2 linked regions of the Oreochromis niloticus genome follow. The protein of the gene in region 1 interacts with the protein of each later gene in a pairwise test. Links are inferred from orthologs where the notes say so. Each region holds a gene or a part of one and is shown on either strand. Other genes may lie near its edges. The genes, in order: pleckstrin homology domain-containing family A member 5 and pdzd11.

What was found.
Region 2: the proteins of pleckstrin homology domain-containing family A member 5 (region 1) and pdzd11 interact in binary tests that used the Homo sapiens proteins (3 or more experiments, as listed by UniProt). The two-hybrid records come from large-scale screens. The link is inferred for Oreochromis niloticus from reciprocal best matches to the Homo sapiens genes PLEKHA5 and PDZD11.

The regions. Positions count from the first base shown.
Region 1 is NC_031981.2:427,686-443,261, reverse strand, and holds the start of pleckstrin homology domain-containing family A member 5, read left to right. Parts: upstream 1-9,440; 5' UTR 9,441-9,481; coding exon 9,482-9,651; intron 9,652-9,776; coding exon 9,777-9,853; intron 9,854-10,557; coding exon 10,558-10,615; intron 10,616-15,576.
Region 2 is NC_031966.2:19,888,566-19,904,472, reverse strand, and holds the start of pdzd11 (PDZ domain-containing protein 11), read left to right. Parts: upstream 1-9,192; 5' UTR 9,193-9,331; intron 9,332-9,506; exon of another isoform or gene 9,507-9,917; intron 9,918-10,009; 5' UTR 10,010-10,024; coding exon 10,025-10,117; intron 10,118-12,318; coding exon 12,319-12,459; intron 12,460-12,569; coding exon 12,570-12,668; intron 12,669-15,092; coding exon 15,093-15,180; intron 15,181-15,730; coding exon 15,731-15,765; 3' UTR 15,766-15,907. Other genes in the region: glycerophosphoinositol inositolphosphodiesterase GDPD2, read right to left, coding at 428-517. UniProt on the Homo sapiens protein: Mediates docking of ADAM10 to zonula adherens by interacting with PLEKHA7 which is required for PLEKHA7 to interact with the ADAM10-binding protein TSPAN33.

The sequences.
Region 1 (15,576 bases):
CCTCAAGGCGCTTTATATTGTACAGTAGATAGCACAATAATAAATACAGAGAAAAGCCCAACAATCATATGACCCCCTATGAGCAAGCACTTTGGCGACAGTGGGAAGGAAAAACTCCCTTTTAACAGGAAGAAACCTCCGGCAGAACCAGGCTCAGGGAGGGGCGGGGCCATCTGCTGCGACCGGTTGGGGTGAAGAAGGAAAACAGGATAAAGACATGCTGTGGAAGAGAGACAGAGATTAATAACAGATATGATTCGATGCAGAGAGGTCTATTAACACATAGTGAGTGAGAAAGGTGAGTGGAAGGGAAAAACTCAATGCATCATGGGAATCCCCGGCAGCCTACGTCTATTGCAGCATAACTAAGGGAGGATTCAGGGTCACCTGGTCCAGCCCTAACTATATGCTTTGGCAAAAAGGAAAGTTTTAAGCCTAATCTTGAAAGTAGAGATAGTGTCTGTCTCCCGAATCCAAACTGGAAGCTGGTTCCACAGAAGAGGGGCCTGAAAACTGAAGGCTCTGCCTCCCATTCTACTTTTAAATACTCTAGGAACAACAAGTAGGCCTGCAGTGTGAGAGCGAAGTGCTCTAATGGGGTGATATGGTACTACAAGGTCATTAAGATAAGATGGGGCCTGATTATTTAAGACTTTGTATGTGAGGAGCAGGATTTTGAATTCAATTCTGGATTTAACAGGAAGCCAATGAAGGGAAGCCAAAACAGGAGAAATATGCTCTCTCTTTCTAGTCCCTGTCAGGACTCTTGCTGCAGCATTTTGGATCAGCTGAAGGCTTTTCAGTGAGTTTTTAGGACATCCTGATAATAAAGAATTACAGTAGTCCAGCCTGGAAGTAATAAATGCATGAACTAGTTTTTCAGCATCACTCTGAGACAGGATATTTCTAATTTTAGAGATGTTGCGCAAATGGAAGAAAGCAGTCTTACATATTTGTTTAATATGTGCATTGAAGGACATGTCCTGGTCAAAAATGACTCCAAGGTTCCTCACAGCATCACTGGAGGCCAAGGTAATGCCATCCAGAGTAAGAATCTGCTTAGATACCATATTTCTAAGATTTTCAGGGCCGAGTACAATAACCTCAGTTTGATCTGAATTAAGAAGCAGAAAGTTAGCGGCCATCCAGGTCTTTATGTCTTTAAGACATCCCAGCTGGACTTTTGTCAAAGCTGAGAAGGCTCCTAAAGAAAGCTCCAGCCGATCCAGGAGAGAAGGACAACCACTGCCTATGTCACGGACCCAGCTCTGGAGGACTCGGGGTCCGTGAGCAGTGTGGACTGTTATTATTATTATCATTATTATTATTATTATTATTATTATTATTATATTTATCATTTGGTGTATGTGTGTGCACTGTTCCGCTGTCTGGGGGTTTTGTTCCATGTGTCTATGTATAGGGAGGTGTGTGTGTGTGTGTGTGGCTGTGGCCAGGAGGCCGGGCTACAGGCACCGTCAGGCCTGTGGATGACTGGCCACGCCCAAGGAGGATGCCACACACCTGCAGTGGATCAGCGTCGGCGGAGGGAGCTACTTAATGGTGTGGTGAAGCCTCCACCGACGCGGGATCATTGCGTGAGACTCCACGTTAGTCATCCAGTTTAGGTTTAGTCTTTGAGTGCATGCCTGCTATAGTTAAGTGTCCTGACAGCTGCCACTATTGTTTCCTGCAGGAGGAGCGTGGGAAGCCAGAAGAGCAGCGAGCACTGGGAGTGCAGACACACGGGAGCAGAGAGCACAAGGAGGACACGACACAGGAGTCTGGGGAAAGCACGGGGATTTATTGTTGTTTGGTTCCATGCACTGTAAATAAATGCACTGCTTATACACAGAGCTCTGCGCCTGGGTCCTCCTTCCCTACATCCCCACGGTTTGCCCTGGCAAACCCTGACAGCCTAAGCGAAAACCTGTAGTGATCCCATATGTGTCAGGAGTATCGGAGCAGTTGAGACGCATTTTTTCTAAACACCGGGTCTCTGTGGCTCTTAAACACCAAAACACACTGAAATAAAAACTGGTCCACCCCAAGGATCCCCTGACACAAACATCATTACATCATGAAAACCAAACAACCTCTGGCGAAGCAGATGTCACACACAGAAGGGCTAACTCTTTAGGCCAGGACTCCAACCTCACATTCCATTGTTAATCATTGGTGCTAGTTTTGTTATTTAAATGTACTGTTTATAAGATTGGGGAAACCTGCAGTCAGCTGAGACTGAAGAAGTCACTTGGATGAGTGACGAAATGTTTCTCCCACTGAAAACATCCAGATGAACAAAATCAACTTTCTGGGAACGTAGTCTTAGTCGTCAACTCCCTGCTGCTGGCCGCAAAGGCTTACCGCTCACTCACAGAAGAAGCGGATCACATTCTCCTGGCTACTAGGAACTCCGGCATTCAGGCGATAGTTCCTGACTCACTGACGGCATCTCCCATGCCCCCACCGATCGCGGCACTGCGGAAAAGGGCAGTGTTTTTACCATCAGTGTGACAGCGTCGTGCCGCCTCTGCAGTTTTAAGGCCAGCGCTCTGTAGCGACCGTGATCGCTGGCAATAAGGAAAGTCTCCCCGGACTCGCGCTCGGGGAGATGTTTTCTGGTGACTCCGGCTCCCTGTGGAGCCTCGGGAACTCTCGTGTCTCCTTTGCATACCTCCACAATGGTGTATTATTTCATCTTAAAAAAAATGGGAGATTTCCCGCATACCACCAGAGAGAGCCCAAGTACCACTAGTGATACACATACCACAGTTTGAGAAAGACTGTAATAGAACATTAAAAAATTCAGATGTTTAAGCTGAGACTTTTACAGTTTCACAAAAATATTTGCTCATTGCTCAGTTGAAATGAGAGCAATAAAAGGCTGGAAAAGTAAGTGGTAAAAGGGACTAGCTGGAGGAGTGTTTGCAACAAATTAGATTAACTTATCAACATGGTTATTATAGAGAGTATCTTAAAGAACCAGAATGTCTCAGACGTAAAGATGGACATCCAAAGAAATTATGCCTACAATCTGAGGGACAGTTTCAGAATAATGTTCCTCACAGTAAAATTGTAAAGAATTCAAATATCTCATCATCTTTACGCATTATTTTCCAAAGATTATGAGAACTCTTCCAAGGGATAAAAATCAGTATTGAGTGCTGTGATCTCCAGGCCCTCAGGGGGCACTGCCTTAAAAAGAAGGACGAAACTGTCACTGAAGTCACAATATGGGCTCAGGAACACTTCCAGAAATCATTGTCTGCAAACACAATTTGTTGTGCCACATCCTTCAAACTAAAGAGGATATGGGCCATTTGGCTTGTTATTAGTGCTCAGTTCAAAAGCTTTTCAATACTGAAAGGTATAGACAGGTTTTAGAGCAACATGTGCTCCCATCCACACAATGTTTCTTTCTTTTGTTTGTTGTTTGTTGAGAAGTTCTTGCACATTTCAAGAAGACGATTCTAAACCACAGACTGCATCTACTGCAAAGGGATGACTTTGTAGTAGAAGAGTCTTGATGCTTGATTATTCAATTAACTGGTCAAAATCTACAGTTCTTCCGATTAATTGCTTGTTCCATAATTCTTCATCTACCCGACTGCAATCTGGAAACATTAAATATTTAGGTATCAATATCTCTCCTAAACTTGCAGAATTAACTAAATTAAACCATATCCCACTTTTAAAGAAAGTAGAAGACGATCTGGTTAGATGGAAATCTTGACCCATATCACTCATGAGAAGGGTTGCCACTATAAAAATGATGGTTTTGCCAAAAATAAACTATTTATTTTCAATGATCCCAAGTAAGCATCACAAGATTGGTTCAGATCTCTAGACTCGTATATTTCTAAATTCCTTTGGAAAGATAAACCCCCACGTATCAGCTTAAAAGCACTACAGAGGACCAAGGATAAAGGAGGACTAGATCTGCCTAACTTTAATCACTACTTTTTAGCCAACAGGCTTCACTTCATCTTTAGATGGTTAAAACACACCTTCTTAGACGAACCCTGGCTAGATGTAGAACAAGCACTTTGCAATAATCTCGAGATTTCAGATCTACCATTTATCAGCTCAAACATCCAACGACATGAATGCTATAAAAGCATCAGCATCAGCTCTTCTCTGACAGCATGGTGGGAGTTTCTAAAAATAACAGTCTTCATTAATCCCATGCAAACGTAGACCTATCTGGAACAACCCTGATATATTACAAAACAATAATATGATCAACTTTCCAGATTGGAGTTGTAAAGGAATTAAATACTTAGAACATTTATTAGAAGGAACAAAATTTATTCCATTTGACAGACTAGTGACACAATATGGGATCAACAAGAAAAGATTTTTAGAATATCAACAAATTAAATCCATAGTAAAAAAGAAATTTAATCCAAGTGAAGCTGAAGTACAAACACCACCAAGTGTGGTACAATTTTTTAATCTTAAACCCCCCAAATTATTGTCTAAAATATACAGAACAGTTTCTAAAACAGATGAATCAATATCACTTCCTATTGCAAAATGGGAAGTGGATTTATCAGTTAACTGAGACCAAAACTTCTGGTCTCAGATTTGCTTAAAAACCTTTCAATGGATCAGAAATCCCAATTTGCAATTAATACAACACAAAATACTACATAGAGTACACTATACTGGTCATAGGATGTTCAAGATGGGCTTTACGTCTTCTAACAACTGCTCACACTGTCAAGCCAATACACCGGACAATTACAGCCACGCTCTTTGGTTCTGTCCACCAGTTCAGAAGTTTTGGCGCGAGATATGTGAAGACTTATCAAAGTGTCTGAACCAACTTCCCCTTTAGTGTGTTTGTTGGGCAGCTTAGATTATGTCACTACAGAAATAAACACAGCCCACATTATTTTTACGGCCCTATGCATTGCCAAGAAAATGGTCCTCATTAACTGGAAAAATAAAAATAATCTTAATTCTAACCAATATAAAAACCATCTAATAGATCACATTAGTCTTGATACAGCCTCTGCCATCACATTTGATCAATCCCTCTGGGCTCCTTTGATCGGCTTCATCACCTAGGGGGTGGGGGGTGGGGGTCATGGTTTGGTCCTGCCTTCGCTATTGTGGTTGATATGGGGATAGGGACGGCCTTAGGGCATCTGGGGATTCCCTAGGGACGTTTTCCCTGGAGGACCTAACTCGGGGGTTCTGGCCATGACCTGGTTAGGGGCTCTGGTGGCTCTTAGATGGTGTTTTCCTTGTGGCTGTGTACAGCGGAGATGGGGAGGGTCTGTGCTGGCAGACGTTGGTTACTGGCCTGGTAGCCTGGCTGCCCCTGGGTGGGTCCGGGACGGGCGTGGAGGCTTGGGGGTCTGGGGTGCTCCGCCCCCGGGTTGGGGCTCTGGCTGAGCCTTGGGGCCTTGGGTCCTGGTTGTTGTGTCGCCGGGGTGGTGGGCGGGTGGGTGCAGGGGGGCTCAGCCCCAGTGCGGGGGACCTCTGGTGCATCGGCCCAACTGCAGGGCTCTCTAACTGGTGGGGAGGCTGTTACATCTTTGCAGGAGGTCTCCTCTCAACAGGAGCTCACTCTGCAGGTGCTACTGCAGATAAGGAGGCGGTCTGCTCTCCACCCCAGAGAGAAGGGTTACATCTCCTGGGTCCAGGTACGGTTTGCCCCTCTGGGGGCAGGGGTATCCGGACCTGGGATATAGAGTATGTTTGGGGAGTGTGAATGTGTGTACAGTGTCTATTTGTGTCTGTCTCCACGTTGGGTGAGTGCCGAGTATTTGTTTGTGTATATGGGGGGAATGCACGTTTCTGTCTGCGTGCGCCTGTTCGTCTGTGTCTATATGTCAGCCTGGCTCTTAGACTCCACCTCTCTGGGAACATCTCAGGCTCTCCAACGTATGGAGGCCTATCTCCCGTCACCAAACTCCCTGCCAGTGGCTGATGCCCTCAGACGTTGGTGTGTTGGTGGTTCTTGGTGTCTGGGGCTGGGTGCTCATGTATGTACCGACTCACTCCTGGTGGCCGATTGGCGGGGCCTGGCGCCTGTGGCCCGGCTGAGCCCCTTCCAGGGGGTGGGGTGCCCTCAGGCCTCTGGCCTCTGGGCCTGAGGCCCAGTCCTCTCTGGCACAGCTGGCTGTCAGCAGAGCCCGCAGGCATGTCACTGCGACCCCCTGTGGCCTCTGCTCCGTGACTGCTGGGTGACCTCTCGTTTGGGGCTCTCCTCAGCTCTTCCCAGGAGGGTGGCACATTTACCCCCCGGTGGTCCTCCTTGGGTCCTCGTATTCTGGGGCCTCTGGATGTCTGGGGCCTGGATCTCCTCCATACCTGCTTCATGCCCTGGGGGACGGGGCTATGGCTCCCCACACTCCCTAGCAGATCGTTACATGGAGAAACCTTTTGAATACAAGCGTGCCGATCCACACAGGTGTGCACACGGGTTTTCACAGACACAAGCTACACCTTTCTTGGCTGCTACCTGAAAGCACATTGTGCACTGTCGATCTTGCGTACTGCACAATAACATGTAATATGTAGTATCTACTGTTATCTACTGTTAGCTAGTTTATTGTGATGGTTGTATTTATTATGTTGCTCTGTTTTGTTTGTTTTCTCATCTGTTTTTTCTTATCCCCACACAGGTGATCCAGCTGTTTTGTTTGTTTTTCTATTTTTTTCTCTCTTCCCCCCTTTCTCACCATCTCTTCTCCCCTCTATTTTTCTTTCTCTCCCTCTCTTTCTTTCATTTTTTCTCCCTGTCCTATCCCCCAGTCATGTCTGTCCTGTCTGTAACAACTGAAAATCAAATCAAATAAATACATAATTATAATAAAGGTCAATCAAATGGACCAATATGGCAAGGCCATGATGATCCAATCAGCAAAGTAAATCCGCTTGGCGTCTTTTTTGGCCTTCAGACAACAATTCTGATGGCTAAAGATCCAAACGGGACAGGCAAAAAAAAACAAAAACAAAAAAAAAACAAGAAGAGTCTTGATGCTGAACTGGCCTGCCTGCAGCTGGGACCTTTCAGCTATTATCTGTTTATCAGATAAGAATGGGACTACATTCTTCTCCCAAAGGTCCCACGAATCATTTCCTCAGCTCCCAAACATTTATGGACTCTTGTTTGAAGAAGAGAGGATGCTACTCGCTGATAAATATTTCCCTGTCACAAGTATTTTTTTTAATTTTATCTCTGTAGCTGTCATCAAATTCAAAATGTTTTTTATTTTTTTCTAATTTCTGTCAGGGTCTGGGTCTGTGAGCCAGTGTCTCCAGTTTATTTTTTATTGTTGATTTCTTAGATTTGTGTGTTATTTTTAGTTAAAGGTGTAGTTGAGTTATTTTGTATTTTTGATTACTAATGAGTAACGCTCACTTCTGGTATTATTATAAGTTTTAGTCTAGTTTATGTTTCTTCCACATCTCTTCGTCTGTGTAGGTTGCCCTCTATGTCTACTCTCTCTCTCTGTGTTTATGGCCTCGTCCCCCTTATCTGTTCCCATGTTCTTCTCCCTGTGTTCCTTTCCATTTCCCCCAGTCTGTCATGTAATTCACACTTGTGTGTTCTGCATCCTATTGTCAAGTTTGGTTGTCATGTCTACGTCTCTCCATGTTTTCTGTTTTATTTTGAAAGGTCTAGTGTTTCCATGTTCAGTGTGTTTAGTTTTATTTCCCCTGTGGTGTCAGGTTCATTGTCGTAAGCTGTGTTTCCCCCCAGTGTTTCCACTTCACTCATTACCCTTCTGTGTATTTAAGTCTTTCTCTGATTGATGTTGGGTCGTCTCTTGTCTTCATGTCGATTCACATCAGGTCACAGAGTCGTGCTTTCAACTGTTCAGGTTCATTCTCATGTCATGTTTAGGTTACGTCATGTTCAAGGTTTTAGATGCTCCCATTCAGTTTTCATGTTATATTCTCACGTCATCGTTTTCATAGTTAGTTTAGTTCATTCCCAGTTTAGTTTCACTTCACCTTGTTTTTCTGTTTTTTGTGTATGTCCAGTAATAAAGGCTTGCTTTTTGTTTAAACCTCAGTTCATCTCTCGCGTGTCTGCATTTGGGTCCACACCACAAACACACCGGCTGCTTAGCCGTGACAAATTTCAAACATTTGATAAGGTGCATATGCTCTTTTTGAATAAAATATGGATTTATGAGACTTGTAAATCATTAAATTTTGCTTTGATTTATATTTCACACACAGTGGGAAGGTTTGCCCATATTTTCCAGCTGAAGAAACGAGCTGCTGCAGCTCAGTGCTGGTTCTGATAAAAAGGTGTCACAGGGTATCACAGTTTGTTGTTTATGGGGCTGCACAGCCAAAGACCTGTCAGGGTGCCCATAATGACTGTGACAACAATGAGCATCAGAAGTGGACCATCGAGCAAAGGAGGAAGATGGCCTGTTCTGATGAATCATGTTTGCTTTTTTCACGTGGATGGCCGGGAGCTTGTGTGTCACTTACTTAGGAAACACAGTCTGATGCTCTCGGCTCTGCTCTGCTAGGAAACCTCGGGTCCGGCCGCCCATGTGGATATTACTTTGATATGTACTGCTGGCGTCAGATATCTACTTTATATTTGGATTTACAATTAATTTCATGTTTGGTTTATAATTCATGGATTCTTGTAAGTTACATAATTGATCTTTTCAGGATTAGCACATTTGAACATTTAGGTTATGTTTACGTAAGGTAATGATATGGCCCTGTTTGTGATAGGAATCAAAAGAGGTGCCCACCACTTTAAGCATGTAAGTGCAATGGCAGCATGAAAACCTTTGTGGTTTGGGAAGAGGAGCATGGATGGAGAGCTAAGGAGTACACAGGTTGTTCTGGATAAATGTCTAATTTTTTTGAACGTTATGCTTATTTTGGAAGGAGTTCATTGTTACGGCTTTAGTTTGTAATAAATAAAACAATCTTCAAGTCATAATTCAACTGGAAACATTTCCTTTTGGAAACCAGGAACAGGCGTCAGCCACAGACTCCTTTTTTGAAAATTTCCCTACATGCACCACCTACCTAAACGTTGCTGCAGACCATGTGCACCCTTTCATGGAAACGGTATTTTTCCTTGGATTCTTTCACAATAGTATTATAATAATATCATGCCTGACTGGTATGAGTACAACTCCATTTACCGTATAAGTGGTGAAAAAACAATACAACATATTCACAGGGAACGTGTTCTTGATTTGCAGAGAAGGGCAGACCTAAGTGGAAATAGTTTATCATATACGAAACGAAAGAAGAAGAAACAGTGTCAATATTATTTAGTGCACTGTAAAAAGCTCGTGTGCGGACGGACAGATGAAGCTACGTATTAACTGATCAGCACGCGCTGGAACGTTCACCGGCGCCAGTTTAGTCACACGGCTGCCAAAAACGAGCCCACCGGTTCCCCAGGCTTGTGACAAAATCGTTGCTTGCATCTTTATCTTTTGTGCGCGTTCGCGCATTTCCTCGAGGCGCGCACAGGATGGAAGTGCGCGCGCGCTTGGCACGGAGCCGCGCACTCCAGCCCATACCCGTAGTAAAGCAAAGCTCCAAACTAGACATGGCGGCGGATCCTCAGCCGGACTGGCTCTCCTGCCTTCCCTCTTCTTGGAGTTATGGGGTGACTCGGGATGGACGCATATTCTTCATTAAGTAAATATGACGCGGATACACGGATTTATGGATACCTACTGCTTTTTTCTCCGACGCATTCTTGTTTGGGGTTTTTTTCGGGTTCTCTGTTCACCTCTCCCTCCCCCGTTTTCTTTCACCAACAGCGAAGAAGCAAAGAGTACAACCTGGTTGCATCCAGTCACAGGAGAAGCTGTCATCACGGGGCACAGAAAAACCCCAGGTAATACAGGATGTGTTTTTTCTACATTCCTGCGAAAATCCATGCACAAACGCACGCACGCACGCACGCAGCGCCTAGGAAAGGTTATGTGCGCGTCACGGTGGAAAAAAGGGGCGACAAGTTGCAAGTGAAAGACGACGGGGGTAGATTTCTTCTCTGCAGCAAAGCAACAGTCGCCCCTCTCCGCTGTCGGACCGTTGCGCACGGCGTCCCCCCGCCATCCCCACCCCACTTACCCCACCTGGACACTTTGCGACACACTTTTTAAAAGTTATGTCACGTAGGCTTTTGCCGATTTCCAAGCGGATTCCCTGCAGTGACATTTGATACATACTCCGCTTTGCTGCAGAAACCCAGTATTTCCAGTCACCACGGTTGATTATAGAACAATGCGGTGCGGCTTGTGAGTCAGCTCAGAGACGATATTGCCCCCAAATTTGCACATCTGCCGTGGGGAGAAGGTTTTTATTGGGTGCATGCACATTAATGGTGTATTCCACCAGCGTGATACTGAGCAGGCAGACGCACACAAAATGATAAATTCTGCAAGAGGGAGGGGGGACGGGATTGATTTAAAAGGGCGCAATCCAAACGAGATATTACGCTAGAAAAACTGTGTTGCTGTTTGATTCGCTGTCTGTGTGCACCGTTCCTTATGTTCCTGCTGTCTTGTGTTGTTTTTCTTTCCCTCCCTGTCCTCACAGATTTACCAACAGGATGGGAGGAAGGATATACATTTGAGGGAGCTCGCTGCTTCATCAAGTGAGTTGGAATGTGTGGCATGGAAAAAACATAGATAGGAAGACACTGATGGATGCAGAAAGGGATGGAGACGGGTTAGGTGGCTTGTCTTGGGCAGTGGGGTGCTGCTTTGTGTGGTTGGTAAGCTCTGAGATTCCCTCCACTCTTCCCACCTCTTTGCCTGTCTGCCCTTTTGGAGGAATTCCCAAATCCTTCTGTTTAGCGGGCCTGTAATATGCACACACATCATTACCCACACATGTAGAAAACTGATGTGACTGAACAGCTCTTCACCTCTGTCTCTGTCTCATAAACACACTCACTCCAGTGAAGGGATTTACCCAAGAACAAGTCTGTACTGTTAGTGAGGCACAAGTTTGACAAGCAAGGGTGACTCAGACGTTGCTCCACTGTGCTTAACAGGCTCTACTTGTTGGTGTGCGGTGTGTCTGTTGTGTATGTGTGCACCCACTCCAGGTTTATAACCGACTCCAGGAACCTGTGAGCTTTTTGCACACATATATTAGTTTTTTGCTGTGTTTGTCTGGCAGCTCTCTGATCACCACAGATACACTTTGATTTTCTTCCACCTATTTTCACACTGACTTTTACTGGAGCTGCTGGTGCTATCTGTGGATATTTTGAAAGCAGCAGCTGACACATGCAGTGAGCTAATATAGCCATTCTATAAATAGACCAAACCTGGTGCTCATTTGTATGTATACATGCATGCAGAGTGTACCCATACACATCTTCAGTGTATTAATGCATGCACATGGGCATGTAAACCTGCAAGCACAGTTCCATGTGTTAAGCATTACATGCTTGCACAGTTGGATAACTGCAAATGCAGCCAGAGCATTTTAAAGAGGTTGGGATTAGATCAGGACACATTCAGAGGTAGTACAGAGAGACATGAGTGTGTGATGGTGCTTGGATTGGGAGTTGTAGAATACATACACGTTTTTACGTTTTTCACATGATAGGAAAGTAAAGAACTCATGCATATATTCTGGCTTTCATTGTTTGTTGGGGATGGCACATGTCTCTAATGTTTTCTGATTACTTACTGACGTTTCGTTTGCTTATCGAGTGCTATCGAGCTTTTCAAGCTGGTGTTTGATATATGCAGCCAAAAGTGTTTATCGAGTGTCACTGATCATTTTAATGGAATCACTACATTGGTACCATCATACTCTACCAAGTATTATCTTTTGTTTGGAGTAGCTCCTGTTGTGTCGTTCACCAGTTGGACAATCTAAAGAGTCAAAAAGATGGTAAACGGACTGGTTCTTCTCTACTCTATCTGAGCACTCAACACACTTTATACAACTGGCCTCATTCACCCATTCACCACCTAATCAGACAAGCACTTTGTTCTATGCTTTTTCTACTGATGTGCTTTCTATCAGACATTCACACACATTCATGCTCCAGTGGATGTATCGGAGAGCAGCTTGGAGTTAGTATCTTACCCATTTGGCATGCAGACTGGAGCAGCCAGAGATCAACAGACACTAACTCAGGACAGTGGACATAGACTCAGATATCTTCAGATACTTTTCTCATATTTGGCACACAACAAGAAGCAGTCCATGTGGGGAGCATTTTTCACAACCCATAAATGCCGTGGCCCACCTGGCTAAAGTTGACCTGAGCTGGAGCATTTTTTTCCCTCAGTTCCATTTTATTTATACAGCACCAAATGACAACAACAGTCGCCTCGAGGCACTTTGCTTTGTAAGGTAGACCCTATGCTAATACATATAGTTGCATTGAATAACTTAACCTAATTGTAAACTATAAACAGGTTTAATAAAAGATTAAAGAATGAAGCAAATGGTATAACTCACTATTGTTTTACCTGTTTGTCTGAGATCTGTCCAATTATGTATACTAATTAAGGACTGCTTCAGCTTAGCTATACGCTATACTTTATTTAAACAAAAACTGAAGATTTAGTTACCAAGACAATGCAGCAAATTGTGTGTACCAGTATAGCTGTACTGAGCAGGTGACAGGAGGAGACAAAGTGGTCAAAGTCGGTCATCTCTGGAGACTGAATGAAACCAATCCAAATGTGAAGTAAGATATTGGCAAATTGTAAGTAGCCTGTCTAGCTGGTGGGTGCTCTGATAACTGAACAGTGTGATTTATTTTTTGTTTGTGTTCTTAGAGGACAAAATAAATAGTGATTACAGGTGGAAAAGCTCATTTGGATATTAAGCCATAAAAAGCAACTTCTGTGCTGTTCTCGAAGTGGCGTACTCGGCTGAAGGCGAACATTCATGCTGCCACATTCACAGTCTTGAATACAATGAGAAGCATTTGACACAGAGCAGCCACGCTAAAGGACACTGCATCATCACCACTTCTTCAAATCCCCCACATTCCTCTCAAATTCCTCTTCGGTCACTTTTCTATTAGTCCATTATTGGAAGTGTTTCCTCACAGCTCACGCTTCATCAGTAGCGTTGAAGGGCATTTCTGCTCTCTGAGTTTGTGATGGTAGGTCATTTGTCCCCAGGCTGAGCTTTTCAGGGTCAAACACCTTCTGCTTGGGTTAATCTCCAAGTTTCCATTTTGAATGTGTTTATATCCTCATATTTATAATTTAACTCACTTAGGAATTCTTTAAGCCTGAGGTGCAGACATGTTGGATTACCTGGAAACAAAGTCCCTCCTTAGCAGACAAGAATGTCTCCTAAACCGTGTAAATAACCCTAAATACTTTTGTTTACTTGCATCTTATTTTGGCGGTTATCCCCATTATTCACTTGCTGGGATTAACTTCCTGTTGGAGTTTTGATGCTATTATTTTGAAGGAACGACTTCCTGTATAACTGTTGTCAGTGCAGTTTGGCGGCAGTCGGGGGAGGTTGGAGAGGGTGTTGTAACGGAGCTTGTGGAAGTTTATTTTGTCATTAGCAGCCCCGTTGATGAGGCACAAATGTGTGGTTATGATGTAAATAAGTACATGTTTAAATATTTTATGTGACAGAAACTGTACATTTGTTAAGTTTGTTATGTAGAAGGTTAAGTTATTTTATGTTGTAAAGGTTTAAGGTTGTAAGAGTATGGATTTTAACTTTTTATTTTACGCTTTATAGTCTTCATTCAGGGGAGTTTGCTAAAAGCAGTTTAGAACCACAATGACTGAAAGTGTGCAAACCTCGAGTAGAATATGAGGCAAGCCTCTGGCTATACTCAGCCAAATGCTAGAAAACTGAATAGACAGTACTACACTGTAAATATCTTTATTAATCAGCTATGTACCACAGGCCTTCAAGCTGGCTTAAACCTTTACATAAAAAGCATCTCTAGACCCAGCTGTCTTAGCTAATTATAGGCCAATCTCCAACCTTCCTTTCATATCAAACATCCTTGAAAGAGTAGTTGTCAAACAGCTAACAGATCATCTGCAGAGGAATGGCTTATTTGAAGAGTTTCAGTCAGGTTTCAGAGCTCATCACAGCACAGAAACAGCTTTAGTGAAGGTTACAAATGATCTTCTTATGGCCTCTGACAGTGGACTCATCTCTGTGCTTGTCCTGCTAGACCTCAGTGCTGCGTTCGATACTGTTGACCATAATATCCTATCCGGTCTTTAAGTCTGACGTCATTAGCCGTGTCTGGGCCCAAACTCCGCTGCAGGTCCCAAAGTCAAACGAACACTGCAGCATCACAGAGAGTTAAAAACTGTCTAAATTCTTTCATCTTTAATAAAATGATCAGCGTTGCTGCTTTACCAGGTGTAACAATTAAGTTTAACATCCAGGCATCCATGAAAACAGGATTTATTACATTTAACAGAGTTAGAAGTTAGCAGGAAGTTAGCTCGCTAGCTTCCACCTAAACATGATATAGCATGTTCTGACTGAGAGATTTCTGAAACATTCAAACGTACAGCTCTGCTATCACTTCCAACATAAATGAAGACAGAAAACTAAACAGCAGTGACGTTTGTAGGGTTACTGAAGTTGGGCTAGCTGCTATATAATGATGTGCTACGTGATCGCTAGCGACACAGCTATGTTAGCATAGCATAAACACAGTGAAGCTGGAGGGTGAACGCTAACTTTTTTCCACTCGATAAAAGTTAACGTGAGGGTTCCCGATGGTTAGGGACAAATGCGATCGCATGGCAGGATGCTGTAAACGGACCAAACTTCAGTCAGGAGAACAACTGAGATAATCCATCCACAATACGAGGTTAGTCATTAATATACTGCTGCATGGGCTGGGCTGTAGTTACATCGTAAGGGTTTAAATGCTGAGCTTTAAAATGAACAGTGGTAATAAAAACCGAGAGAGGCCGACAGTGATCACTGACTGTTTTTAGGGGCTTGTTCAGATTAAATATAACAAGATACAAAACATTAAAACATGTTAAAAACAAAAAAGCCTTAATAAACGCAGAGTAGTTTGGGCCCGGAAGCAGGATTCATCACGACATCCCTTAAAGACTGGATTAGAGCGATTAGAACATGCTGTAGGTATTACAGGTACTGCACTGCAGTGGTTTGTATCATATCTATCTAATAGACTCCAATTTGTACATGTAAATGGAGAGTCCTCTTCACACACTAAGGTGAATTATGGTGTTCCACAGGGTTCAGTGCTAGGACCAATTCTGTTTACATTATACATGCTTCCCTTTTTTTTCACTGCTATGCAGATGACACGCAGCTCTATCTGTCCATGAAGCCAGGTAACACACACCAATTATAAACTGCAGGAATGTCTTAAAGACATAAAGACCTGGATGGCCGCTAACTTTCTGCTTCTTAATTCAGATCAAACTGAGGTTATTGTACTCGGCCCTGAAAATCTTAGAAATATGGTATCTAAGCAGATTCTTACTCTGGATGGCATTACCTTGGCCTCCAGTAACACTGTGAGGAACCTTGGAGTCATTTTTGACCAGGACATGTCCTTCAATGCACATATTAAACAAATATGTAAGACTGCTTTCTTCCATT
Region 2 (15,907 bases), on another chromosome or scaffold:
TGTCATTTCTCTCACAGTTTTACAGAGCTCCTGCATCCTCCCCTCGCCTTTCATATAAGTACATAGCTTGTTAGGGCCTGTGAGTTTATTTGTTTCTCTTGGCACATAAATGAATTTTTTGAAATGCAATCACCACGTCGGTTATTGTGTTTATATTTCCTAACAATTTGTCAGTGACTGTTTTGCAATAAAAGTATCAGGTTTACAATGCAACAGTTCATAAAGCAGCATTTTATATTTCGGATTTCAGTCAGGCGAAATTTTAATCTCGGATTACTGGGATTTATAAAGGTTGAATGGAAATAAACCACACAAAAAACCCTAAAAAAATCAAATAAAACATGGTTATTTAAACATTAGACACTCCTGGAGAGAGATAAAGGAAAACTGTGACTTATCATAAGAAGAAAACAGATATTAAAACTACCTTTCTGTTTTGATTTTTTGACTCCGTCCAGCGGCAGCTATAAAAGCCCCTGCTGAAGAACAGGCAGCACAAACAGACTTGACACAACATTTCTCCTCCTCATCCACAAGCGTAGGAAACGCAGATCTGGTTTTGTGCCGTGCGGACACTGAAGAAGCTAATGCTTTTCTCTGGATGCAGTGACGAAGTTTGGGCTGATTGATCTCACCAATCCTGTGGTGTGCTGGAGGGAAAAGAAAAAGGCGACTGTGACAGAAAGCAAATGAGGGGGTGATGGGCGAACTTTCTTTGGGGTATTAAGGCAATCCCTGCTCAATTACCCCCCCCACCCTCCACCACCCCCAACTCCCACCCCTCAATAGAGCCTGTGTCTAAAATAGCAAGTGGGAAATAGTGGGAAATTCCACCCCTTCTTATGGGAGTTTTACCTGGAACACAAACATATGTTTAGTAGACTTCACTCCTGTTGTGAAAAAATAAAGTCACCGTTGAAAGCAAAGCCTGTGGAAAAGCAAAACACAGCATGAACAGTCTTTATTCCAGCTCTGATACAAAATATGTGCACCTTGTACTTGGGTGTAGATACAGTGTTTCTATGAGGCCGTATGCTGTCATGACCTCTTGTGCCACCTTACCTGTCAGCTGGTTATACTAATTTTTGTATCTTTGCATGGATACCTTTTGTAAAAGAAAGCTGCTTTAATATGAACATGAAACTGGAAACATTACGATGACCACTCCTTATCCATGTCGTTTGTGTACAGCTTGGCAAATTTTTTACAGTTTGATGGAATATTCTGCACCTCATGACTTGAGCAACAAACTAATTCTAATATAATTTTGGAGAATATAACCGTTTATCTTATAAAAAAGATTTTTTAAAATCTTTTTAAAGACAAAATCAAATTGTAGACACGTGTGCCATAAAGAATGATTCTTTTTAGCTGATGTTTGTACTTTTAGTTGTAACCCCAATAACCCCCCCCCCCACCCTCCACCCCCCCAACTCCCACCCCTCAATAGAGCCTGTGTCTAAAATAGCAACTGGCTGCATTTACAATGGCCAACACCATGGGGTATTGAAAGTGGTGCACAGACCGGCCTGAGAGTGAAGTCAGACTATTGGACACGGTGACAGGCACAGCCATGCGCAGAGAGGAGGAAATAAAGTGAAGACGACAAATAGTTTACAAATGGAAAGAATGAAAAAGAAAATGACATAAACTATGACAGAAATAAAAATGGTTTGGCTTGCCAGACACTTTTACATTGAAGTGAAGTAAACTGTGAACGGGTCACAGCAAGATTTCCGTCAACATGTTGGGGCTTATCATTCTACAGTTGTGTCAGGCTTTGGTCCCCTTTCTTGAAAGACATGGGAATTTACACACAATGTCACCCACTGAAACACTGAACAATAAAGGTTTCTATTGTGCACAGCCAACTCTTCCTTGTTAAACTAGATCCCTGGAGTTTTGCCAAATATTTCTTCACCTGAATTGTTCTTCTTGTTTTTACAATGAGGTGACAAACATGTTCAAGGTGAGAGCATAATAAACTTTAAGTAGTAAAAATGAAACCTAAAAAAATCACTCTAAATTATTCTGTAAAAGAAAATGGCACACTGCAATCAGCATTCTGAAATTAGGACAGAGTTGCCAACAAGAGCCTGTTTGGACAGATCCACAGGTCTAATTGTGACATGGAAATGTAAGAAGGCTTGTTTCACTCCAGAGACACTTGCTTTACCAGGAAGTTATGAGCTAAATATTGAGCAATAACCGTAATATGTGACCAACCACGCCATCAGTTTGTGACTAAAGAAACAAAAATGTCACTTAAATTCAAAGGATAACTGAAAGTCACAGCTGAGTTCCTTAAAACAGTGTCCTTTTCATGCCCCTGCCTAATATAGTAACTGGAAGCTATCGCTGTTTATCTTATGGCATTTTTATTGCTGCTCTAAACCTTATACTAAGCGCCACTTCAGACTACAAGGAAATCCTCTCATGGTGGATAAACCCCAAGAAATCCACAGCGCACACTGCCACCTGTATTGTTTGGAAGATTTAATGATATCGGTCAGACACACCTCTCCAATTTGTTTAACCAACGTTTACACTGTTATAATGTAAACTGCAATTAGGCACACGAATGACGTGAGCATGCTCCATTAATAAAAAACTGATGAGGAGTGAAATTTTCAGGTAATTGTTTATAAAGATTCCTTTTTTTTTTTACCCCACTAGATACAGATTAAGAAGAATATTAAAAAGAAACAAACACTATCACTTATTGCTTTCACACTCTCACTGTCTATGATCTGTCTCATCTTTGTAGGTTTTATTTCCTTTTTGGACAAAGATTTATGCACTTCTTTACTGGGCTTCCTTTATTAGTTCTATCATTTCTATTTCAATTTATATCCAGGAAAAAAGGCTAATAATGCAACATTTTATTAAGTCTGATTTATAAGCTCTCAGCGACCCACTTCAACAGTCACGCAACTCAGGAACCAAATTTTGGCAGAAGTTATGAATAAGACGTAAATAGATTTAGTTCTAAACTTAGGTCAGCCAGTTGTGCAATCTTGCACTGCTCAAAAACAAGAACACTTGAAAAATGTTAATACTGATTTGGATTTGGTTTCCACTGACATCATTTTGCTTTCAGCTTGAATGTTTCATTCATCAGATCTGATGTGTGATTTTAATACAGGCCATTTACCATTTTAATGCCCCCTTAATTATATATTTTTTCTATCTACGTTTGAGTTTTCATTTTATTACTGACATCTTAAAAAAAGTGCTGTTTAAAATGCTCTGATATTATTTGATATTTCCCATGTGTCTCACACAGTATGGGAATAATGTTGGATGGTCCTAACTGTTCCGTTCATCTTGCTGGTTTTCAGTGTGAAGTGTCACAATCATAGACTGTGTATTATTATTTTGGCTGATGTTAAGTCTGACAGACAAGCAAATAACAAACCTGACAATTGCCAAAGAGGGAATCAAATAAATACTAGAAATATAACCAGAAATCACAGGGCAATACACAGATGACATGATGAGAAAAGAAGGCTGATGCGGGAGAGACAGGTGACGGCAATCAGACAATCAAGACGGGGAAGTGAAACTCAAAAATTAGAGATAATGACAAAGGAACGCAGAAACAGATAACTGAGGGAAACAGCACAAATAGTAAACTCCACAAATACTAATCTAGGATTAAAATATAGTTCACACACACAAACTAAAGCATGACTCACAATGGTACGGGGAGAAAACAGACAACTAAAGCTCCTCAGAAGAACAACAGGGGAAACCGAGGATAAAGGGATAGGGGAATATGCTGACAAAAAGACTGAACAATAAACGCCGGAAAGACAAACTCAGACTTCATTATATTAGCTGAGTGCTCACAAACCAAAACAAGACAAAAGAGTCAGGTGCATGGCACTTTACAAGGAGAAATCTATGTTTGTGGTGGCTTAATGAAACTGTGGAACTGATGCTAAGTCAATGATTTCAAGATGACTCAACAGGCAAAATGATTTCGCTTGAGTCTGTGGGGTCCGCGGGGCTTTGTTCATAAACTGATTCATCCTTTGAATCCGGAGGGGGAAACAATTATATATTTAATCACTTTCCTACGCACTGATTTACACGAATAAGTTGCTTGTCGTTTTTAAAACATCTATCTGTCAGGACACTAATTAAAATTAGATCTGATCCTATTACTCTGCTGTTGTCTCCATGTAAAAATTCTTCCAAAATGCTTGTTTTTAACCTAGATATCAACATGTTATACACCTGTCCATGAAGGTCACTGTTTGGTGACCATGCGTCCTATTGAACACATGCCTATTTCTTATTCAACGTCTTCTGGATTGATGGAATAAACGGTTTGTATAAATCCAAGTTCACACATCTGTAGTAATAGTATGTAGTCAGAAGTTGTGAACCGCTGTAGTTATATTTGCACTTTTTTCATCTTGTGAGTTCGTTCTTGTGCTCGCTTGGATCTGGAGCGCTTGCTCACATTTGCAAGCGCTTTACTCCAGCAGCTTATTGCATTCTGTACAAAACACTTCTGAAAACTAGAAAGTTTGCATAATACAGACTATGTACCTGTGCAGGTATTGTCTTATATATTTCTAAGATCGGAGACGTGTGTGCGCACATTTAATTTAAACACGTTGTTCGGAACAAAAACCAATCTCTCTGTCTGTCTGCCGCAATAAAACCCATGCGGTAAGCTTCCCGACAAATTCAAACCGACTCACCAGTCAATCTAGGTCACGGAGATCGGCGCACGCTGCGAACTGGCAAAGACGCGCCGGTCTTGGAAAAGCCCCTCTGCCGCCACTCTCTCTTTCCACCATCCCGTTTACTTGCCGTGAGTCTGTGGGCTGAATGTAAATGGGGTGCATGAATAGGGACGGGCTAGGGGTGTACCGCCAAAGTGAGGAAAGATAGTGTGAGAGAATACCTGCACAACCTTTTGGAGGGCGTCCGCGCCGTGGCCACGCCTCATCCAGTTTCTGATTATGATTTTTCTAGGTACCCAGACATTAAAAAAAAGAAAAAAAGAGATAATACGAACCGACATAATATATTTAAATAGTCCTCAGATAATTTATATATGAATATAGGTGAATTGTCTTTTGTGTTTCATCATCTGCTCCTATTGTAAACGAGCCCATTTCCAGTAAACTCGCACTGCGCTGTTCCTGAAGCAGCCCGGAGGCTCCTCACCTACAGGTGACAAGTGACTTTAGATTGTTTTTTATGATAATTTCTTTACGTATATATGGGCCTAATCGACAAATCTTAAAGGGGTAAAAGAAGATCTAGCTGGTCAGCTGCAACATCATCTTTATTTATGTATGGATGCATCAACAGTTACTGTATAATGCGCAGATATACATGACCCATGCATCATCCTGAAAAAGGCTATCTGATGCCAGATTGTTTTCGATTCTTTCGGGTTTTTTCCCCTGTTTGTTATCTATTCATCAACACGCTGTAGTTTCTGAGTCAATTAGTGAGTTACTGTCATATGTCAGAATCAGTGGACTATACTTCCCATTGCATGTGTGACATTTTGAATGCCTGCTGTACCAAACTCTCTTTTTTCTAAGGATTCCCTGCTCTGTAGCTGAATAGTGTTCAGATGCTGATTTAAAGAAAACATGCCCTTTAAAAAAAAATTTGTTTGCAATAAAAAGAAGAACATTTGCATTTTACTGCATTTACTCACACAGAACAGAAAGATATGTGAGTTCTTAACTGTCAGTAAAAAAAAAAGGGGGAGAGGTGAAACAACATATAACTATGTTCAGTATGTAGTAAGGGCATCATGCTGTGCAAGCATGTTTGCCCATAGATTCTCACCACCTCAAACATAATGCTCTAACTTACATTCTAACAGAAGAAGAACCATCCTCTTCATTCATGTGCATCTTTCTATATATCTATCTTTCATTAACCACACTCCTACATGTGCTAATCCTTCCTCCTCCGTATTGCCCCTGTAAAATATTTATATGAGTGAGCGCGTACATGTCAAGCTAAATAAATATGTTTTACCTGATGTTTATACCTGCGAAATAACTGGACGGCATGTGGGTGATGTGGGAAATTCCACCCCTTCTTATGGGAGTTTTACCTGGAACACAAACATATGAGTTTAGTAGACTTCACTCCTGTTGTGGAAAAATAAAGTCACCGTTGAAAGCAAAGCCTGTGGAAAAGCAAAACACAGCATGAACAGTCTTTATTCCAGCTCTGATACAAAATATGTGCACCTTGTACTTGGGTTTCTATGAGGCCGTATGCTGTCATGACCTCTTGTGCCACCTTACCTGTCAGCTGGTTATACTAATTTTTGTATCTTTGCATGGATACCTTTTGTAAAAGAAAGCTGCTTTAATATGAACATGAAACTGGAAACATTACGATGACCACTCCTTATCCATGTCGTTTGTGTACAGCTTGGCAAATTTTTTACAGTTTGATGGAATATTCTGCACCTCATGACTTGAGCAACAAACTAATTCTAATATAATTTTGGAGAATATAACCGTTTATCTTATAAAAAAGATTTTTTAAAATCTTTTTAAAGACAAAATCAAATTGTAGACACGTGTGCCATAAAGAATGATTCATGTACTTTTAGTTGTGCAAGAGTAACGAAATCCTGTCAACTATGATGTACTGTTTTGACAACTTCAACAGTCATTTGAGAATTAGTCAAACTGAAAAAACCTGTATTGGATGGTGTACCTTTTCTCAAGTAAAAATCAGAATATCTGATTTTTACAGCAGTGTTAGAACTAAGTCACGCAGGCATAATGTACTCTGATGGTAAATGGAAAGGACACCCTCGCTGTAACATGTAAGGTTTTACACATCAGGGCATAAAATTAAAATGTGTGGTCTTTAGTTGGTCCAAAAATTAGATAAGCATAACCTCAGATAATCAACAAAACATGACGTTTACTCTGTGTTGTCACTTATTTAACAAAAACTTGGTCAAAATGCAAGAAGCAGCGTGTGAAAAACTCAGCATGCCCTAACTGCTTTCACAGGAATCAAGACTTAAAATAGCTGCCAGGTGCTGCTAATCAAACGCACTTGATTTATTGATCCTTGTAAAAATCTAAGCACCTCTATAAAACAGAGTTTTTGGCAGTTTGCTGGTATGGCGCCTCCAGGTGTGTGTTAACACAATGTCAATATAAAAAGACATCGGTGATGATCCTGAAAAAGGAAATTCTTGCTCAGTCTGGGAACGGTTACAAGGTCATTTCCAAACAATTTGAAACCCATCATTCTATAGTGAGAATGATTATTCAGGGGTGAAAAACATTCTAGACGGCTGCCAATCGTCCCAGGAAGTGATGTCTGACTAATTTCACCTGAAATCCAGACAGCGGGGTACTCAGAAACTGCAATAAACCCTGGAGCTACATCTCAGACGTTATAGGCCTCAGTAAGCAAGTTAAATGTTAAAAATCTTGACAGTACAATTAAAAAAACTGAACAAGTCTGTTTTTTTGGGGTGGGGGAGGATCTCCAGGAGAAAGTCTCTTCACTTAAAAACCAAAAACCTAAAACATGATCGCAGGGCTCAAGTTCTCAAATTTGCATTTGATGAAAGCACATGGCTTCTTGATCAATGTCCTTTGGAGAGATGAGACCAAAGAGATGCTTAGCTATAATCCTCAGCACCACTTTTGTGTATGGACCCCGTACTTAGTTTTTCACGCACTGCTTCTACACATTGGCTTAGTTTTCTCTTAAATAAACAATGACACGCTATAACAGATCCTTTGTTGTTGCTCATCTCCCGTTGTATTGACCTAATCTGAAGACTTTGGTAGGAAATAGATGATTTTGATTATGTCCTGATATATAAAAGTTTAGAATTGACAGAAGGTGGAGTTTCTTTTTTCTTTTTTTACTATGACTTTATTTAATGTTACTTTGGTTATAGTAGTACTCCAGCAATGCTCCAGCAACAATGGAACTCTTGAAAGTGGTTTCGGTATGCTGACATATTTAAAAACAAAACAAAAAAAACTGAAAAAAACTTGCCATAGTTTTGTTTATCTATCTTGCGAAGTTTCTGTGTTTTTCATTCCAATCTGTCAACACAGGTTTCATTTCATTTAATTGCAATGTGCAACTTGCAGAGACCTGAAGCCTTCTGAAACAAGCTCGGTGAACAGTAAACACTGTGCATGATTTACCATCGTCAAAGTCATTTCTGAGTGCTGAAGCCATTGTTGATCTGCGATAATAAAAAAATGTTCACGCTTCACTATTTGGCTGAAGATGATAAATGCAGTTACAGAGTATGCACTATAAAGCTTTAACATAATGGAGCCCATATCACGCGTCAAGTTTCTGCAAAGCAACTTCACACAAACTTTCACACAACGTGGGCACATTTCGCAACACACATTTCTCACTTGGTTTTCTTTCTGCTTAAGTTAGAAAGAAATGCAAACATATGCAACTGCAGCATATAAGGAATATAAGTCACAGTTCACATATAGGACGTGCGTGATCTTAATTTCTGATCATTTTTTCCCCACATAAAATTATATGTAAGAATATGACTATCCGGACACGGGACAGGGACATAAATGATGAGCAAACATAATAAATATGTCTGTGTAGGTTCTCAGTCATCCAGATCATGGCAGTCTTAAAAATTTGGCTGATAGGATGATGCATATGATCACTAGTAGGTCAACTACCCCCACAGGGTCAACCACCACTAGGGGTCAAATACCTGAGACTCTCCACCTTTTAGAACTGAAGAAGGCCCTTGGATAATGTGCAAATCAATACAAAGAAAATATATTTTTGGTCAAATTGCAAGATATCACAGAAGTGTTTTACAGACTTCCCGGTTGATTTTCCAGCTAGCCGCCATTAGGTTTCTCCATCTGCAAGAGCTTTCAGGAGGTCGATATGCAGCAAAACGTGAGAGCTTGTAGAATAAAATGTGAGAATGTAGAATTTTTGTTAACCTTGTAACTTTTTCACACACTTGTTTTTCACATTTACAATTGCAAAAAGTATTACAAAAACTTGTAATTTAAATTTGTACTCATATTTATTCACTTTTTAAGCTACTTACAACTTCAACTCTGTGATTAGGACCTCTGTAATCAGTGAATAAAGCTGTTCAATTGCGCCCTCTCGAGTCACCAATCCACGAATTCACGCGCTTTGACTTTTGTAGCTGTTCAAAGCGCGAATACGCCACAGTGCTGTCGGACGTCTTGTAGTAACTACTCCACACCAGGAGGGGGCGATAACGCACTATAGCTGCCTGCAATTGCTTACAGCAGCAAGTTTACACTGCTAGCCCTCTGACTGGCAGGTGAGATATATTTTTTGTTGTTTTGTTGCAGTCATTCATGTTTTTCAATGCTAAATGATCCAAGTGCATTTATTTTAAAGTTCCTGTGATAATAATAGCGCGTGTCAAAGTGTTTCCTGTTTAATAGAGCAGAGCTAGCTCGTTTACAGTTAAACAGTAAGCTAATCGTGGTGCTAGCTCGGGATGCGTTTGCGTGTTATTACCATATGAAACTGTCCACTGTGAGATAATTTCACACGTTTATTTTATCTCGCTTCTTTCCCCTGATCCACATGCGTATTTTTTTTTTAGAAGATATTTCTAAGTGTTAGCCATATAACGTCCCTATTCGGACTTGGTGGCTAACCTGTTACAGAGTTGTGAACGCAGCTGTGTTTTTAGCTGATGTTTTGGTCTTCTCTGCTCTTTATGCCTTATCTAAAAATGATACATGCAAAACCGGGTGTAATAATGTGGGTACATTAATGCCAAACCCCGGTGAATGAAGGCATTACAGTCATGGAATAGGGACTGACATTATATTGACTTGAAGTTACGTGTCCGAAACCACAACACAGTAGAGACACCGGAGCTCTTTAAATCAGCGGTCTGGATTTCGGGGATTTCCCTTTAATTTGTATCAAGCAGTCCAGTGCATCCGTAGTTCATAACAATGAACTGTTATTCTCTTCTCGGTAGGGAATTTTAGCAACCATGGACCAGAAAATTCCCTACGACGATTACCAGCTGCCAGTGGTATTCCTGCCTTCTTATGAGAACCCGCCTGCATGGATACCTCCACAGGAGGTATGGCAGATATTACTCCAACTAACCTTTGTGCTTAAATCATGTGCTAAACATTTTGTACCTTATTATATAGTGTATATATTTATATTTTTTATCTTTTCTACTTTAGTTATGATTTATAGGTTGTGCTTAATGTTTTGGCTGCTGTAAAACCGTCTTACAGTGCCGGAAAATTGTATTTGCCCCCTTACTGATTTCTAACTTTTTTTTTTATATATATTTGTCATTCTTATATGCTTGGGATCATCAAACAAATTTTAATATTTGTCCAATATAACCAGAGTAAATACAAATGCAGTTTTTAAATGATATTTAATTTATTATGAGCGAAAAACTATTCAAACCTACCTGGCCCTGAACATGAAAAAAGTAACTGTCCCCCTTGTTACGTCATGATGAACTGTGATTAACCACATTTTTTGGGTTCAGTTCATTAGACCTGTTGAATCAAGAAATCACTTAAATAGAACCCGTCTGATAAAGAGAAGTGGGCCTAACGATCTTTACTAAAAAGCAAAAAGTCATCATCTAAAGAAGCTCAAGAAGAGATGAAAAACAAAATAATTGACATCCATCGGTCTGGAAAGAGGTACAAGGCCATTTTAAGGTTCTGGGACTCAAGTGTACCACGGTGAGAACCATTATCGACAAATGGGAGAAGCCATGCAACTGTGGTGAACCTTCTGAGGAGTGGCTGACCTACCGAAATTACTCCAAGAGTGCACTGATGGCTCATCCAAAGGGTCACAAAAGAACCCAGAACAACATTTAAAAAACTGCAGGCCTCACTTGGCTCAGTTAAGGTCAAAGGTCATTATTAAACAATAAGAAAGGAGAAAACCACTGCTGACTCAAAAGAAGGGTTGTTTCACATTTGCCATAAAATATTCTTGATGATCCCCAAGACTTTTGGGAAAATGTTCTATGGGCTAATGAGACAAAAACTGAACTTTTTGGAAGGTTTGTGTCTCTTTACATCTGTCATAAACTAGCAAATCATTTCATAAAAAGAACATCATACCAACAGTCAAGCATAGTGGTGGTAGTGTTTATGTCTGAGGCTGCTTTCCTGCTTCAGGAGCTAAACGATGTACCGTAATTGATAGAACCATGAATTCTTCTCTCTACCAGAGAATCCCGAGAGAATGAATGGCCATCAGTTTGTGTCCCTGCTTGAGCAAACTTGGGTTATTTAGTAAGATGACGAAACACTCCAGCAAGTTTAACTCTGAGTGGTCCACAAAGAGTGCAAGAGTGAGTCAAAATTCCTTTACAGTAATGTGAAAGACCCATTGCCAGTTATTGTAAACACTTAATTGCACTTCTTGCTGCCAGGGGTGGCACAACCAGTTATTGGGTTTAGGAGGTATCTACTTTTTCACACAGGGCCTTTTTGATAAATGACATCATAATCAAATATGCATTTTGTACTTGGGTTATCTTTCAGTAGCTGTTGCATGTTAAAAATTGTTTCATGTTCTAAAATATGAAGGTGTCACAATTATGGGAAAAAAATAAATCAGGAAGCGGTAAATACTTTTTCACAGTGCTGTATCTAAAGTATCTACTGGTAATTTTACTGAATACTATTAAGTTTATCTGAGAGTCACAAAGATTCTTGGTTTTTTTTTCTTGCTACTGCTTTTTTGTAGCTTTTAATGGCATCTTCCATGCCAAGGAATGGGGCTTCCCAATGTAACGTGATAATAGGTGGTCACATACAGGTTGTAACCTGTAGGTGCACGCACAGTCCTTGTGTCACCTTGAGGCTTTTCTGTCTGTCATGGTTTCGTAGTTGGCGCCTTTAACTCCTTTTTTCAGTTAGTGTTTGGGTTTCAGTGAGTTCCTGAAGCCTGTCTTATATGCGTTTGGAAATCTGACAAGTAAAGAGGTGTTGGTGCCTGACTGCAAATGTCAGGACTGTGCAATACCATTACATGTGCTACAGAAAGCAAATGGGTGGATATTTTTTGTGAATGTGCTGTTTCCAGATTTTGTTATCCCAATGAAAACACCTTTTTTTGTTGTTGTTGTTGTTGCTGAGCTGCTTATTTTCCAAACAGGTGATGCTGAATGTGTATTATGCGATGTGATATTCTACAAGGCGGTTCACTCTCATCACATTGTTTTTAAGGCAGAAGAAGCAAACTTGGAGAAACTAAATGTCGCTGGCTGTTCTTCTTCTCTTGGTTCATTTTTAGCGGGTTCATCATCCTGACTATAACAATGAGCTCACACAGTTTCTGCCTCGCACCATTGTGTTGAAGAAGCCTCCAGGAGCGCAGCTGGGCTTCAATATCCGTGGTGGGAAAGCTTCACAGTTAGGAATCTTTATATCCAAGGTGCGTGCACAGCCCTGGTTATTAGTATGTTTTTTTTTTTTTCTTGCTGTGCTGCTGACTATTTGTTTGCCTATTTTTAATCAATTTAAATAATTTCTGTGTGCTGGCAGGTGGTCCCAGATTCAGACGCCCACAGAGCAGGGCTGCAGGAGGGAGACCAGGTTCTTTCAGTGAATGATGTTGATTTCCAAGACATAGAGCACTCAAGAGTAAGTCGAGGCTGAATTTCAAACAGGCTTTATTCAACACATTGTCTCCAGCACACACTTACATATTGAAATCTACTGTGATATTCATAAATCTGATTTAGTTTAGATGTATTTCTATTCATGTATGTACAAGACTAACAAATAGCTTCACATACTGTGCTGTGCTCTTTAATCTTCACTATAGTCAGAACATATTCAAGGCGGGGTTGCTCAAGTAATCCTTAATGGTGATCACGATAATAATTTTTTTGTCAATATCAAGCTCACGATTACAAAAAGTGGGTAAACTTTAATTTGGTGGAGTGCGGTATAGGATAATCCAGACATATTGTTTTACTTGTATTTCAAAATTTCAAGAGTTGAAAAAATCGATACCTATACCCAGGAAAATACTTGATATTAGATACCCTTTTATATACTGTGGGTGAGATTTTTACCCTATCCTGCAACAACAACAGTATCAGCAACGAGGCAATTTATTAAATTAAATCTAAGTTAGATTTAATAAAGTAAGTATTTACACATTTTTAATTTATTTTCAGAAATATCCCTACACACCCACTGATATTTGGTTGAATGTCTCTTAGCAAGTTGCACCTCAACCAGATGCTTTTGATAGCCATCAAGAAGCTTTTTGGATTATTCTTTTTATTATTCTTGGATTATTAGTTTCACACTCATTCACACATTGTGGCTATACTTGTAAAACAAACTTAACCCTGTCATGAACGTGGTCCTGTTCTTGAATTATTCTGACGGATATTTGACCACTGTTCTTGGTGGAATTGGAGTTCACTTTTACCATTAAAAATTACCATGACATTTATACTCACAATGAGCATTATATATAAGAGCATCTCAAAACATTTGAATATTACGAAAAAGTTCATTTGTTTTTGTACCTTCATTCAAAAAATTATGGATTATAAGTCATGAAAATCAGAAGTCCACTATCTCAAATGAGTAGAATATTTCAGATTAAAAAAGGATTTGGAATCTAACTATGTCCAGTTTCTGAAAAGTGTGTTCACCTATTCTTTCAATACTTGGGCAATGCTCTGTTTCCATGATTTACTGCATCAGTGCAACGTGACATGGAGGTGATCAGTTTGTGGCACTGCTGAGGTGTTACTGAAGCCCTGGTTGGCCTGGGTGTTTGTTATCTTCCTTTTGACAGTGTGCCATTGATTCTCTGTGGGATTCAGGTCAGGCGAGACGGCTGGCTGTTCAAGCACATTAATAACATGGTGAGCAAACCATTTGGTAGTTTTGGCGTTGTGGGCAGGTGTTAAGTCCTGCTGTAAAAGGAAATTGGCATCTCCATGAATCTTGCCGGCAGTTGGAAGCATCAAGTGCTCTAAAATGTCTTCTTCCAGAGTTTAGGAACTTGATTTCTAAATGAAACAAAAAAATTTACTTTCATGTGAAAAACTTCCAACTAAGCTTTGAACTGATGTCAAAGCTGCTCCTGATACACTGACACCAGCCTCAGTCCACTCCTTGTGAAGGTCTCCCAACTTCTGGGATGGAGTTATCCTGGCAGTCCTCTCAGAGCTGCGGCCATCCCTGTTGCTTGTGGATACTTTCCTACCATGTCATGTTTTTTTTTTCCAGCCAGGTTTCCATTGATATGCTTTGACACAGCATTGACCAGCAGGTCTTTTCAGCACTGGCCTTCTGTGGTTTGCCCTCATCATGGAAGGCTGTCAGTCAGCAGACTTCCCCCTGATTGTGGTTGCATGAACTGAACGAGAATAAAAAATGCACTGTATTTGTACCATTTGAACGGTAATTTGTTTAAACTGATATTGAAATATTGTGGTAATTTGAGATGCTGGATTTCTGATTTTCCTGAGCTGTAAGCCATAATCATCAAAATCAAAACAAAAAAGGCTTGAAACTTTTTTCCCTGCATATTTTTTTCAAGCATGAATGACTTTCTATAAGAGAATTACAGTGTAAGCCATTCTGGCCATAATCAAACCGCTGTGAGAAATAATGACACACCAGATGCACCATAATTGTTTTGTGTTCTGTTTTGTTTTGTTTGTTTAAAATCAGCAATGCTTGAGGAGATATACATTATGCTTTTATTTTGAAAAATGTAGTTCCTGTTGAAGCATGTAAAATATTTAGACATTTAATCTAATGTGTAAATATTAGCTTTTTTGAATTTTGACATGTAAATGCATGTTGTAGCATTAATGTGCAAATACAGAAAGCATCTACTCACAGATACTTTCTGTATTTGGAAACTTGTCAGGAGGACAAGTTTTTGCTTGTCCTCCTGATCTATCTGCTCTTCCAGTGAAACAGCAGATCTCATACTAAAAAAATGCAAGATTAAGTGGAGCCAAATGTTGCAGTTTTCTTTTTGTTCCATATCTTGTTCATCACAACATTGCGTTATATTTTCTGTTTAAGATCATGGATAATGTTTGTCTTCTTCAGGCTGTAGAGATTCTGAAAACTGCGCGAGAAATCCTGATGAGGGTTCGCTTCTTTCCCTACAGTAAGCGTTGGTTTACTCGATTGTATCAGGAGCATGATGACAACCTAAAAAAACATTTATGTCAACATGTGTTTTTATCTCAACTGTTAAGATGTTTTAGAGAGATGAAGAAAGAAAAAATTGTTTTCCTGAAAAATTTGTGTTCATGGGGATCTTGTAAGATATTATTTTAAGACAGATCTACACTTAATGTCCTTAAATATTTGAGTCTTGTTTTGCTGTTAGGTTAAATGCTCAGAGGAAACTGTTGTGCTCACTTTGGGTTTGAAAGCAGGTTTTAGTCTGTGCCTTTTACTAGTCCTCAGTGTGCTAATACAGCATGTGTTATATATTTAAAACATGCTGAATTTCTCAAGAATTTGAACATTGTCAGTATGCCATCGTGCCATCATAATAATAAGATTATCATCTGGCTTATCTGAGTGCAAAAACAAAAGACAATAAAAACTTTAAATCAGTAAAACTTTGAGCTATGTCATACTGATACAGAAATCTATAACAGTGCCCATGTCAGTACTCTAATGGTGTCCTTTGTGGGTTGTTTTATCAGACTACCAAAGGCAGAAGGAGAGGACCGTACACTAGATGGCAGCAGAGAGAGAGACAAAGACAGAGGGATACTTAACTGCACTTCGCTACAATCCTCCCACACACTCTGGCCTCCATTCTGTCTCAGCTTCAAGATGACTAATGTATGACTAACAATCTCATTCAGTCTTTCATGTAA